2 linked regions of the Stegostoma tigrinum genome follow. The protein of the gene in region 2 purifies or fractionates together with the protein of the main gene of each other region. This does not show direct contact. Links are inferred from orthologs where the notes say so. Each region holds a gene or a part of one and is shown on either strand. Other genes may lie near its edges.

Evidence for each region. Proteins that work in one complex are often made in the same cells at the same time.
Region 1: the proteins of krr1 (region 2) and ddx18 purify together in Homo sapiens (affinity purification with mass spectrometry; 3 studies listed by BioGRID and IntAct, with this or other methods). This does not show direct contact. The link is inferred for Stegostoma tigrinum from reciprocal best matches to the Homo sapiens genes KRR1 and DDX18.

The regions. Positions count from the first base shown.
Region 1 is NC_081360.1:68,634,403-68,642,207, forward strand, and holds the start of ddx18 (ATP-dependent RNA helicase DDX18), read right to left. Parts: upstream 3,002-7,805; 5' UTR 2,855-3,001; coding exon 2,728-2,854; intron 1,539-2,727; coding exon 1,359-1,538; intron 1-1,358. UniProt on the Homo sapiens protein: ATP-dependent RNA helicase that plays a role in the regulation of R-loop homeostasis in both endogenous R-loop-prone regions and at sites of DNA damage.
Region 2 is NC_081371.1:47,150,032-47,157,208, forward strand, and holds the start of krr1 (KRR1 small subunit processome component homolog), read right to left. Parts: upstream 3,015-7,177; 5' UTR 2,948-3,014; coding exon 2,893-2,947; intron 1-2,892. UniProt on the Homo sapiens protein: Part of the small subunit (SSU) processome, first precursor of the small eukaryotic ribosomal subunit.

The DNA.
Region 1 (7,805 bases), on a different chromosome or scaffold from region 2:
TGGGATAGTAGTATTACTAACTAGGATAGCAATTATTGCTCATAAATTGGCTAAATTAAGTGACTTGGTACAACCAGTTCTGAGCAACTTTTCCAAATACATGAAGATGATGTCTTCACCACAAAACTACAGTAGACCTACATATCGAAAGCAATACCACATCCATGTGCTCAGTGGACACTGCTAGCACATTCACTAATGTGCCGCTCAAGGAAGCCGAAGGCATTTAGGCGGCAACACCATATCCTAGCATATCTAGACATGCCGTCACTGCCTGAATCTGTGCTAACTGAATTTATGAACCGAGATACCTACACAGTTGATTTCAGCTTCAACACAATATGTGCCTGAACTAATGTCATAGAATCATCTTTAGTGCTAGCCATTACTAAAATTTGAGTTAGCTTGCAAAAAAAAACTAGTTGTTTCGGTGGAATAACACTTGCTTCTTGCACGTTTCTAATAAATTTGTTATATTTGAATCTGCAATCTACACACACCTTAATGGGCACAATTTCATGTTTGAAATGGAGCAGTCTAACAGACTCTATTTCTGTATGTCGTAATTGCGAAATCCACTAATGGATTCTCTACGATTTACCACAAGGCATCCCAATCTCTGGGGTAATGAGCTTCAACCAGCAACGCCTGCCATGAAGCTTCAGGCCAAGTGTTAACAGCTCTGAACAACATTTCCTTTAACAACTGTGATGTTCCACACACTGTGATTGTGGTGGTGACGCAGACTGCAGCATGGAATTCTGGCTCTAGGGACTGATGTTGCACACGGATTCAGGGAGTCCATGCAGAAGAGAACTAATTAGAGGGAACACCGGCTGTGAGTCCATCTTAAATCCTGTCATTGAAATCATGGGCATGGCCTAACAGAGCTTTTCGGCACCCAATTCTTTTCCCAACAAAAAAGCAAGTGAAAAGATAGGATTGTAATAATCCCTGAAAAACTGAGACCCCTTCTTCTGACTCTCAGTTCCTCAACACCAACCAGGTTCATGTCATAACTTTCAAACTGTGAAACAGGTCACAGTGGGGGAAAAAAAAAAATTTGAAAAGCACAGAACCACGAGCCCACCTTCACTGGTCAAAATACACTTTATGATTCTAGCATCTCTATGTACTACAAATTAGCTTCATTGGCAATCAGGGCCTCAGCATTTGCACATGTTGATGTTTCTCATGTAGCATAAAATGTCTTTTTCCACCACTGAAATTTGGTATTCTATCTCAATGAATGCAAAATGAAAAGCTCCACCAGCTTATATTTTCACCAATACTCCAGCTGTACTCAAATCTGACAAACTACTGCACGTGCATTACTAAAGTACTCAAAGCAAATTTACCAGTTTCCTGAATTTTAGTTGCAAGCTTTCTTTTGTTTTTCTTTTTGATATTTGATACTGGTTTTTGTTCGCTTTCATCCTTCGTAAGCCTTTGTTCTTCTTTCAATTCTTTTGGAGTGCTTTCTTGATCACCTATTGACTCTTGCAGTGTTTCATTTTCCACATTCTTTTGTTTGACCACTGTCAACAGAAAACTTAATTTGTTCATATACAGTCCAAGTTCAGACCAGGTGCATGCATCAGAGTCGTACACAGAGTCAGAACTTTTACTTGGTTAGAGGTAAACAAACAATCTAGAATTCTGATATTATGGAACTACAATTTAAATATAAATGAACCAACTCCACAAACAGCATAAAATCTTGCACTGCTCTTTCACTGATCTCAGCTCATTCCAAATTACTTTACAATCCACAAGTAACATTGTTTTTGAAATATAGTCTGCTCTGCCACTGAACAAGAACATGGCTGATCTGAAGGGTGAATGGAGTGGTGAGGGTGGGGAGTGAATGTGGAGAAGGTGATTTGGGGGAGGGGTGAGCAAATGCAGGAACAAGTTGGGAGTGAACAGGGTGGGCTGGTAGTGAGAGCTGATGAGCAGAGAACTTACACATTAATGGTAGGGCCCAGGGTAGAGTTGTAGAACAGAGACCGAAGGATTCTGGTACATAATTCTTTAAGATTTGACAGGGCAGTTAAGAAGGCATTTATTGCTCAGACCATTGACTAAAGAAGTTGGGACATCATGTTGCGGTTGCAAGGGATGTTAAGTGATGCCGCTTCTAGAGTGCTGTGTGCAGGTCTGTTATAGGAAGGGTATTATTAAACTGGAAGGGGTTCAGAAAAGATTTATTGGAAGTTGCCAAGAATGGAGGGCTTGAGTTATAAAGATAGGCTGGGATTTTTTTCCACGGGGGGGGGGGGGGGGGCTGGGAGGTTGAGGGGTGATATAAAATCACAAATAACATAAATGAGTAGCAAAGACTTTAAGGTGGGAAAGTTCAAAACAAAGGGTATATATTTAAGGTAAGAGGAGAAAGATTTAAAAAAAGGACACGAGGGGCTACTTTTTTTTAAACACAAAAAGAGTGGTTCGAACTTGCAAATGAACTGTCAGAGGAAGTGGTGAACACAGGGATAGTTAAAACGGTTAAAAGACATTTGGATAAATTCATTAATAGGAAAGGTTTGAAGGGAAAAGGGCCAGGCGCAGGCACGTGAAACAAGTTTAGTTTGGGAACATAGTCAGCAAAGACTGGTTGGACCCAAGTCTCTGTTTCCATGCTGTGTGACCATGAAGGCAAGCTCACATTCACTCACATTAAGATTTTCAACCTCAACTCGCCCCCTCTGCCCGCCTCACACTCACCTTTTTCTCCCACCGCTGAATTGATCCGTTTAATTTTGGCGTTTTTCTTTTGCAACTTTTTGCGGATAATTTTCATTTGAAGATCCGCCATCTTAACACAGCATGTGAACGATGAGGACCCACACATTGGTTTTGGGGGCGGGGGCGGGAAAGCGGGGTGGCTATGGAAATGCCCACTAGCAGGAAACAGCCAGTATCATCAAATCATTCTGCTAAAATAAAACCTCAGCATGAGATTATATCGCAGAAGCTTTTCAATGAGATTCAGGTTCGAATCTCTTGGCGACATATTTAGGCACCTACATATCGCGCAGGCGCAGTAATGGATCAGTGAATCCGGAAGTAATTTCCGTGGAAGTCACACTGTGTAGGGAGGGGTAAGCGATAAAAAGCGGCCCCCTGATTTTGAGGGTTTGTGATTTGGAGCATCTGTAATAACAGATCCATTTGTGATCAGAGATAATGGGAACTGCAGAGCTGGAGAATCCAAGATAACAAAGTGCGGAGCTGGATGAACACAGCAGGCCAAGCAGCATCTCAGGAGCACAAAAACTGATGTTTCGTGAAGGGTCTAGGCCCGAAATGTCAGCTCTTGTGCTCCTGAGATGCTGCTTGGCCTGCTGTGTTCATCCAGCTCCGCACTTTGTTATCCGTGATCGTTCATGCCGACCAGGTTTCCTAAACCGAACTCGTCCTATTTGGCCCATATCCCTCTAAACTCTTCTTATTCAGGTATCAGAGATAATGGGAACTGCAGATGCTGGAGCATTCCAAGATAATAAAATGTGAGAGATGGAGGGTCTAGGCCCGAAACGTCAGCTTTTGTGCTCCTGAGATGCTGCTTGGCCTGCTGTGTTCATCCAGCATCACATTTTATTATCTTATTCAGGTACTTCAGTTTTTAAAAAAATGTAATTGTACTCTACCACAACTTGTGACAGCTGGTTCCATATACCTGCCATCCACTGTGTGGGGGGGAAAAGGTGCCCTTCCGGTCCCTTTTATGTCTTTGCTGTCTCACTTTTAACCCTGTGTGCTCTTGTTTTGGACTCTCCTACTCTCATGAAAATTTCCTTGGCTATCCACCTTAGCTATACCCCTCATGATTTTTCTAAACCTCTATAAAATCATCCCTCAGTGTCCTATGCTCCAGGGGAAAATTGTCATAGACTCTCTACTCAAACCTTACAGTCTCAGGAACATCTTTTATATTTTTTACCCTAGAATTGTATGCAATACTACAACTGTGGCCCTACCAATGTCTTGTACGATGTATTGTAACTTGCTTCCTGCAAGCAACAAAATGATGTACTGTTTGATATGACCTGTCAGCCTTTGGAATCTTTGACCTACATAACATTACATCATACTGACACTGGAAATCGTACACCACCATAGTCACTTGTTTGATAGAATTCTACTCATGTTGCTACTGCATAGTTGCAGAGTGAATGGCTGCCTTAGGCCCTTTTTTATGAGTGTGGGCGACATGGTGAGAAGCGATTTGATCAGGCATTTATCAAGATATTAGCCACCTTTATCAGATTATTTCAGGTGCATAGAGAATCTGCAATATGGAAACTGAGAATGTAGAGGGTTCCGCAATTAAACTAGGAATTCTAGAAGCACGGCTAGCACTTGTTAAAGAGGTTAAGTTCTTTTTGTACTCCACACTCCAGATGTAATCTCATCATTGCCTTGGACAATTACAATAACACTTCCCTGCTTTTATACCCCATTTCTTGCACAGTAATTGCCTAAATTCCATTTATCCTACTTATTACATAGAAGGTAAGTATAGGAGTAGACCATTGAGCTCTTTGAGTCTGCAACACTTTTCAATATAATCATGGCTGATCATGCAATTTCAGTGTCCCAAACTTGCTTTCTCTCCATAGCCCTTGATCCCTTTAACAGCAAGGGCCATGTCTAGCACCCTCTTGAATATATCTAATGAACTGGCCCCAACTGGGAGAGAATTTCACAGGCTCACAACTCTTGAGTGAAGAACTTCTTCCTCATCTCAGTCCTGAATGGCTTACCACTTATTCTTAGTCTATGATCTCTAGTTCTGGACTTCCCCAACATCAGGAACATTCTTCCCACATCTAGGCTGTCCAGTAACATCAGGATTTTATATGTCTATGAGAATTTCCCCACCCCCCCCCCAATTATTCTAAATTCCAGTGAGTACAAGCCCAATCAATCCAGTCTTTCCTCGATATGTCAGTCCTGCCATCCTGGGAATCAGTCTGGTGAACCTTCGCTGGACTCCCTCAAAAGCAAGAATGTCCTTCCTCAGACTGGGAGACAAAAACTGCACACAGTACTTAGGTGTGGCCTCACCAAGGCTCTCTATAACTGCAGCAAGACGTTCTTACTCTGACACTCAAATCCTCTCACTATGAAGGTCAGCATGTGATTAGCTTTGCTCATTGCCTACTGCACCTGCATGCCAAACTTCAGCGACCATTCCACTGTGACACGAAGGCCCTGTTGCACCCCATCTTTTCCTAAACTGCCACCATTCAGAAAATAATCTGCCTTCCTGTTTTTGTGACCAAAGTGGATAACCTCAGACACCCAGATCTCTCTGCTCCAAAGCATTTTGAAGTTTCTCTTCATTTAGATTATAAGTTGTTCTTTTATTCTTTCAAGGAGATTGGATAACCTCAGTCTTCAGGGATCTACTGGGCATCTTAATGAAAAATCAAATTCTCAACTCATAAATGTATCCAGGATGACTCTGGTACTCTCTTTACAGAAGACCACCAATTCATCCCATTTACCCTTGAAATGTGGTGTCAGGCAGCCTTAGATTGAGGAATCTGAACCATCACTGGATACTGTTGATTGCACCCAAAAAGCAAGGAGAGTGTCTTATTTTTTATTCTTTCAGGGACATTTGATGCCCATCCCTAATTGTCCTCGGAGTAAGTGGCTTGTGAGAGCATTACAGAGAGCAGTTAAGAGTTGACCATTGTGTGTCTGAAATAACTTATAGGCCAAGCCAGGTTAGAATGACATTTTTTTATTTAGAAACCAGATGGGTTTTTAATAGTATCAGAGATAATGGGAACTGCAGATGCTGGAGATTCCAAGATAATAAAATGTGAGGCTGGATGAACACAGCAGGCCAAGCAGCATCTCAGGAGCACAAAAGCTGACGTTTCGGGCCTAGACCCTTCATCAGAGAGGGGGATGGGGGGAGGGAACTGGAATAAATAGGGAGAGAGGGGGAGGTGAACCGAAGATGGAGAGTAAAGAAGATAGGTGGAGAGGGTGTAGGTGGGGAGGTAGGGAGGGGATAGGTCAGTCCAGGGAAGACGGACAGGTCAAGGAGGTGGGATGAGGTTAGTAGGTAGCTGGGGGTGCGGCTTGGGGTGGGAGGAAGGGATGGGGGAGAGGAAGAACCGGTTAGGGAGGCAGAGACAGGTTGGACTGGTTTTGGGATGCAGTGGGTGGGGGGGAAGAGCTGGGCTGGTTGTGTGGTGCAGTGGGGGGAGGGGATGAACTGGGCTGGTTTAGGGATGCAGTGGGGGAAGGGGAGATTTTGAAACTGGTGAAGTCCACATTGATACCATATGGCTGCAGGGTTCCCAGGCGGAATATGAGTTGCTGTTCCTGCAACCTTCGGGTGGCATCATTGTGGCAGTGCAGGAGGCCCATGATGGACATGTCATCAAGAGAATGGGAGGGGGAGTGGAAATGGTTTGCGACTGGGAGGTGCAGTTGTTTGTTGCGAACTGAGCGGAGGTGTTCTGCAAAGCGGTCCCCAAGCCTCCGCTTGGTTTCCCCAATGTAGAGGAAGCCGCACCGGGTACAGTGGATGCAGTATACCACATTGGCAGATGTGCAGGTGAACCCTACCAACCTCCGGATACAACGCATTATCCTCCGACACTTCCGCCATTCACAATCCGACACCCACCACCCCAGACATTTTTCCATCCCCTCCCCTGTCTGCTTTCCGGAGAGACCACTCTCTCCGTGACTCCCTTGTTTGCTCCACACTGCCCTCCAACCCCACCACACCCGGCACCTTCCCCTGCAACCGCAGGAAATGCTACACTTGTCCCCACACCTCCTCCCTCACCCCCATCCCAGGCCCCAAGATGACATTCCACATTAAGCAGAGGTTCACCTGCACATCTGCCAATGTGGTATACTGCATCCACTGTACCCGGTGCGGCTTCCTCTACATTGGGGAAACCAAGCGGAGGCTTGGGGACCGCTTTGCAGAACACCTCCGCTCAGTTCGCAACAAACAACTGCACCTCCCAGTCGCAAACCATTTCCACTCCCCCTCCCATTCTCTTGATGACATGTCCATCATGGGCCTCCTGCACTGCCACAATGATGCCACCCGAAGGTTGCAGGAACAGCAACTCATATTCCGCCTGGGAACCCTGCAGCCATATGGTATCAATGTGGACTTCACCAGTTTCAAAATCTCCCCTTCCCCCACTGCATCCCTAAACCAGCCCAGTTCATCCCCTCCCCCCACTGCACCACACAACCAGCCCAGCTCTTCCCCCCCACCCACTGCATCCCAAAACCAGTCCAACCTGTCTCTGCCTCCCTAACCGGTTCTTCCTCTCCCCCATCCCTTCCTCCCACCCCAAGCCGCACCCCCAGCTACCTACTAACCTCATCCCACCTCCTTGACCTGTCCGTCTTCCCTGGACTGACCTATCCCCTCCCTACCTCCCCACCTACACCCTCTCCACCTATCTTCTTTACTCTCCATCTTCGGTCCGCCTCCCCCTCTCTCCCTATTTATTCCAGTTCCCTCCCCCCATCCCCCTCTCTGATGAAGGGTCTAGGCCCGAAACGTCAGCTTTTGTGCTCCTGAGATGCTGCTTGGCCTGCTGTGTTCATCCAGCCTCACATTTTATTATCTTGGGTTTTTAATAATTAGCAAACAAAATTAATTTCAGGGTCACTATTACTAAGACTAATTCCAAATGTATTAATTCAAATTTAAATGGCACCAGTTGCCAGGGATGGAGTTTATCCTGTGTATATTAGCCTAGGTCTCTGGAATTCTAGTCCATTGTCAAAACAAATCTTATTTG
Region 2 (7,177 bases):
GCATGAACAATGAAGTCATTGTACTGAAGCATTGCTTCCAATGCCAATTCCGACTGTGATCCCATTTCAAGGCTTAAAAATGATCATCTGACTCAGTGGGCTGTAGGGGGTGGGCAAGGAGGGAGGAGGAGAAGACCAATGAGAGTGTAGATCAGTGATGTAGGTCATTGCTACCTGAACTCATGATTTTGTTCAAGGTGCCAAACCCCATTTAAGAAGCCCTGTAATAGGGGATATTATTGATCCTCATGTAGATGAGGACAGTAAAGGCAGAGTGGGAAGAGAATTTCAGAAATGTGTTTGGGAAAACTCAATGGGCTATGGAGTTTCTTCTGTATTGTACGATTCTTCAACTGTACTCTTCAGGAAATAAGTCGGGGCAAATGTCAGTTAGGGAACTTTTGGAGAACCACAATCATAGTATTAAAATGTTCAAACTGGAGCAATTAAAAATATAAACACTGAATTGGACAAGGGACAGTTTCAGTGGGTCAAGAACAGATACAAATCAGACAAACTAGGATTAATGATTTGCATGCAAAACTTCAATGTAGCAATGGGTTGTCCTTAAAGATGAGAAAAACACAGTCCAGTGGCACATTACCACAAGGGCCAACCAGTAGTACAAAAAAAGTGAGAGGCCCCAATTTACAAAAGATTGACAATCGGAAAATGACATAACAACTATCAGGTTAATAACAGAAGTGAAAATCAGGATAATTTTAGAAAGTTTAGATGTAAAGTGAGAAAAGAAGTGCAGCAAAGAGATTGAATAAAGTAAAAACTAGTAATTAACGAAAAAGAAAAGAATCCAGAAGTTTCTGATAAGTACACAAGCAGTAAAAGTGTAAGAAGAGTAAAACCTAATTAAGGATTAAAGCACGAATGCTAAGAATACTTTGAATCAGTCTTTATCAAGGAAGATGCTGTTAGTAAAGTCATAGTGAAAGAGGAGTTAAGCAGGATCGTGGATACGTACAGATGTTGACAAAGAGATGCAGTAAGAAAGGATGAAAAGGTGGTAAGTCACGAGGATGCATCCATAGATGATGGAAGTAGTGGAGAAAACTGAGGTGATATTGGCCATAATCTCAACCTCAACAAATACTGGAGTATCTCAGAGGTATACTGGATAACTGCAACTGTTGCACCCTTGCTCAAAAAGGATGTAAAAGATAAATCTAGTGACAACAGACCAGTCAGTTTAAAGTGAGTGATGGGAACGAGTTTAGAACTGATAATCCTGGGCAAAATTAACACGCACTGAACAAATGATCACATAATAGTTATGGCACAGAAGGAAGCCATTTGGCCAATCATAAGAGAGACAGAATATAAAAGCAAGGTGGTTTTGATGGCAGGTTCTTCATTAGAGGCTATCATGGGAAGTCTTGACACTGGCATGACTTTTGATAAACCACTATAAAACACTGGTTCCCTTTTAACTGGAGTATAATGGCCTATCCTCAGCATCACGTTCTGGAATAGAAGTGAAGGGTTTGGAAAAAATAATGAGAATGATTTCATGGATGAAGAAATTCAGCTGGGTGGGGGGGGGGGGCGCTGTGGAGATGGTGATGTCACGGTTAAATCGCTGGGTTAGTGATCCAGAGACCTAGGCCAGTGTGCTGGTGACATGGGCCCAAATCCCGAAGTGGCACCTGGTGGAATTTAAATTTCGGCAGTTATATTTGGAATTATAAGCTGGTCTCAGTAATGGTGACCAGAGAACTAATCAATTGTTGTAAAAACACATCTGGTTCACTAACATCCTTACCCAATCAGGCCTACATGTGCCTTGGAGTAATGTGGTCGATTCTTAACTGGCCTCTCAGAGGTCATGTCTCGCCAGAACTCTCTTCCTGAAAAGGCAGTGAAGCAGATTCCTTGACTATTTTTAAGATAGAGGTAGAGAGTTTGTTGTTCTGCAAGGAATTGAAAGGCTGTCAGTTGTAACTGTGAATGTGAATGAGGTTTCAATCAGAAAGCTATGATCTCATTAAATGGCAGAATAGGTTTGAATAGCTGAATGGCCTACTCCTGTTCTGATTCATATACTACTTCAAGCAATTCAAAGGAGGTGCAACAAACGTTGGCCTTACCAATGGTACCTGCTCATGAAGAATAATGAATAAAGACTGGAAATGCTTAGGCTGTTAAGTTGAGGAGAAATTTCACCAAGGTGTTCAAATTCAAGAGCAGTCTGGGCAGGGTAAATTGAAGAAATTGTCCCCTTTAAATAAGGGCACTTATTTAAAGTGATGGTGAGAAATATCAATGCCAGCACGACAAGATCAAAAATTTTAGGATCTGGACAGTAAGTATAGTGACAAATGAGGGTAATTTTTAAGCGGAAACCTGGTTTGGCAGCAGTTTAGGTCGCGGAGTGATGGAGAAGCTCGTTAAAACGAGTGACTCTGCTCAGGAACATTTCAGGAATCAACTTCCGAATCAGGATAAAGTAAACGGCAACAAAGACTTCACAAAATCTTCGTCCACCGGGTCTACGCATCCCCCCCGCCCCGGACCCAACCTAACCCACAAATGGAGCCTCCCCCAAGGCCAGGCCGGCTTCAGAAATCCCCAACAAAAACAGAAATCACTGAAATTCCGAAGGAGAGTCACTGGGCCCGAAACACTAACTTTGTTTCTCTCACCACAGATGCTGCCAGAAACCTGGTGAGCTCCTCGAGCTCAGTTTCTGAAGGTGGGTCGAGGCCCGAACCATCAGCCTTCCTGCTCGGCTCCTCCAGCTCTACACCTTGTTACCTCAGATTCTCCAGCAATTTGGTTTTTACTTCAGATTTCCACAACTCTTTGTATGTTTTTTTTTGGTTCAGAAATCCTCCCCAACCCCGCCGCAGACCTGACCTCCTCCAATTCTTCATTTACCTTTATCTTTATCATCATTTTTACCGGCTCTCCTTGGACCAGGAGCGACCTCCATGGCGGCCCGGCGCTCAATACCTCCCCCCACGGACACACTTCCGCCGGTCCGCCACTCAATACCTCCCCCCACGGACACACTTCCGCCGGTCCGCCACTCAATACCTCCCCCCACGGACACACTTCCGCCGGTCCGCCACTCTATGCCTCCCCCCCCCAAAAAAAACGGACACTGCTTGCAGTATGGCGCTGGATGTTATTTGGGTGACAGCAGCCGGCAGTTTATGGATCCCGTCGACGTCTTGTTGTGAAGTTTATTAAAAATAATTTTTTCTGTGGCTATTATGTTGCGTCGGAAACAGGAGAATTGATAGGTTCAAGACCCAATCCAGAGTCTTGAGCCCATAACTGATGCAGTCTTCGCAGATTTTATATAAAATCCAAAATCTGCTTTCTAAAGGCGACTTTTGACACGTTAGGAGGCCCACTGTATCGAGGTTGACAGTCCACATCCAGCACTATCAGAGCTGACACATCTTGCAGATGTGAAAGATCTCAGAGCAACTACCTCCCTTTGGCAGATGGAGTCTAATGCGTGAAAATGTGAACTCGTCCCTTTGGCAGGAAGAACAGAACAGCAGGAGAAAACCTACACTTCAAAAAGTACTTCCCATCCTAGGGAAGGTTGAGAGATTAGATAAAAGTGTTCACAAATAACGAGGGGAACTAGTCAAGGTAGATAGAGACTTGAAACTCGTACAAAGGTCGAGATCCAGAGAATACCAAGACAAGATGATCGGCAGAAAAGCAACAAAAAAGTGAAACCCCTTTTTGTGTAGAAAATGGTTAGGATTTGGATGCACTGCCTCAAGGCATTGTGGGTGCATACTCAATCATGCTTTCAGCTCATCTAACTCTCCAGTTTAGTATAGATCAGGTCATTTTTCAGTCCAAGTACTTGCAGTGATTTCTTACTGACAGGAATTGGAACTAAAATGCTGAAACCATTCTCCTGAATATTAGTGGAATTAACAGCATGCTTTTATTCAGGGCAGCCAGCATCTTTTGCACCACTGATGCTGCCTAGCCAACATTTGACAATTTTTAATTCAGTTTTCCAACATCTGCAATATTTTACTTTTGTACTAAGATGACTTACATGGCTCTTGAGTCCTGAAGGGTTCAAGTCCTGTCAAGTGTAAATCTGAGACAACACAATGTGGAACTGGAGGAACACAGCAGGTCAGGCAACATCAGAAAGTTGATGTTTTGGGTTGGAACCCCTTTAAGAGTTCTGAAGAAGGGCCCTGACCCGAAAAATCAATTTTCCTACTCCTCTGATACTACCTGACCTGCTGTGTTCCCCTAGCTTCACAATGTGTTTTCTCTGCCTTCAGCATCTGCAGTTCTTGCTATCTCCAAGTCTAAGTCTGATAGATCTTTATAAAACAAGGCAAGTACAACAGACATGCATCATTCCAATAGTTAACTGAACAGCCAGCATGTACCCAAATTTGTATTATTCTTCCAAAAGAAGTGGGAGTCACTGGCAAGGCAAGTATTAGTTGTCCATCTCTAAATGCCTTTAAACTGAATGGTCTGTTAGACCATTTCAGAGTGCAGTAAAGAATCAACCGCATTGCTGCAATTTCGAAATTTTATATGGGCCAGACCTAAAGGACATTAGCAACTCACATAGGTTATCTTTCAACACTTTATGATAGTTTCATTATTTGTATTCTGTTTCAGGTATTAGAAGGAGCAAGTATGAGAAGAAATCAGCCTCACACGAGGAATTCACACTAATGATAGCTACTGACCATACTTGCTAAAATTGTTCATGTGAACAATAGTTTCCAAAAATATCTGTGCAGGGAGAGACCAACAAATACATCAATCACATGACAGAGGAGTAACTGAGGAAAGGGAAGGATCCCAGTAGAAGTCAAATTTAGTAAAAGACTGATTGCAATCAAAATATACTGTGAATTACAACTAGTATTCACTGTCAATATCACTTTTTTTAAAATTTTGTGTTTGTTTTTAAAATACTGTGGACTGAAATGACAGTTGTTTTAAAATTAATGTTTGAAAGGGTAGTATATTTTGAAAATAAATAACTATTGTAGGCATTGTGTAAATAACTGTTGAACAAGCAGTAATTGAAGTTTGGGAGAGCAGCATGATAGTTCAGTGGTTAGCACTGCTGCCTTATAATGCGAGGGATCTGGGTTCAATTCCACCCTCAGGTGGCTGCCTTGTAGTTTGCACAATCTCTGAAGGGTTTCCTCCCACAATCCAAAGATGTGCAGGTTGAAACTAAACTGCTAAATTGCCCATAGTGTCCAGGGATTTAAGGCTAATAGGAAATGCAGGTTACAAGGATGGGGCTGGGTGCCCCTGGGTGGGATGCTCTTCAGAATGCTAGTGTGGACCTGATAGGCCAAATAGGTTGCTTACATGCAGTAGGGATTCTCTTTTATCAGATTCAATGATTTGAGGCTGAGGACAGTGCTGATGCAACTTTTGGCAACAAGAATTTGGTTAATCTATGGACTAGTAAACTGTTATTGATGACAGAGGCATTTTTGCTGCTAACAGGTAACAACTTAGAACTGGGAATAAGTTACAGAAAGAGAGAAGTGTTCAGTTTTTCCCCAGCTGGGAGGAGTAGCTTGTTATTTTCTTTGCAGTTAAAACTCCCTGTAAACGTGAAGAACATGACCTTCAATAGTTGTTTCCTACAGTGTTTCAGCAAAGCTCAGCGCAAGCTGGAAGAACAACGCCTCATTTTCCGCTTGGGGACCCTGCAGCCCTCCTAACTCAATATCGAGTTCAATAATTTCAGGGTCTAAACTCTCCCATGTCCCTGCCCCCTACCTCACACATCAGGCCCTGTTATCACATAGCCTGCCATTACACACAGCCTGTTGTTTGTCACTAACAGTCCCCATTAACAACTATTGACCCTCCTAACCAGATCATTATCAACTCCTTTATCTGTCCAACTGTTCATCTCTCTCTTTCAGCTCTATCCTATTGTTTTCTCTATACCCCACCCCGTCCCTATTTCCTGCATATACACTGACATTTTCCCAGCTCCCATCAGTTCTGAGAAAGGGTAATTAGACCCTAAACATTAACTCTGACATTTTTCTTCACAGATGCTGCCAGATATACTGAGCTTTACCAGCAACTCTGTTTTTGTTCCTGACTTACAGCGTCCGCAGCTCTTTCGGTTTTTATTCAATAGTTGTTGTAAGATGTGAGATTTAACTGAAAAGTCAAATACTTTGAGTGAACCAACCACTTTTGTGCCTCTTACTACCCAGTGGAAGCATCTAGAGAAAGATGACTGAAGCAGTGTGCTGACCAGAAGAGAAATAAGGATCACCTTAACAACAGAAGCTGGAAAAACACAGCAGGTCTGGCAGCATCTGTGGTGAGAAAGTAGAGCTAATGTTTTGGCGCCAGTGACCTTTCTTCAGAATGTTGTGCAGAAAGGGTTACTGAACCTAAAATGTTAACTCAGACTGAAGGAGCATAATCTTAAAATTTGAGCCAGGTCCTTCAGATGCAATGTCAGGAAACTCGTTTTCACATGAAGAGGAGTGAAAATCTGGATTTCTCTCCCCAAAGATCTCTTTTAAGTTCAGGAGTGACAATTAAAAATGTTGAGATTCAGAAATAGGGAACGCAGAAGCTATTGACAGAATTGAAACTAAGGATAGCAGTTTTAAACTCAATTCATTATTTAAATAAAACAGGTTTGTTAGGTCAGGATAGAAGGTCAATTTTACTTGGTGTGAGATCGGACACGGGTAGGTGAGCTGAAGTTTACAATCATAGGAGGTCAGCCAGGGTATTGCAATATCCATCTGGAGGTAACTGACCTATGGATGAAGGTTTCATGGGCTGAAGCATGGGGATGTTAAGGGACATTATAATATGGAAGTAATTCTTTGGCTGGTCAAAAAGGACACCAGGATTGTGAAGCATCCAAAATTCTTACAGGAGTCAATGGTCCTGGGGTAGCGGAGGCTGAGACGGCTCTTATCGAGGTTTATAAAATCATGAGGGGTGTGGATAGGCTGACTAACCAATGTCTTTTTCTTACGGCAGGGATTCCAAAACTAGACGGGCTGGGTTTAAGGTGAGAAGGGAAAGATTTAAAAGGGATGTAAGGGGCAACTTTAACACACAGAGGGTGGAGTGTGTTTGGAATGGATTGCCAGTGGAAAGGTTTTTTTTTATTCATTCACAGGATGAGGGTGTCATTGGCCAGGCAGCA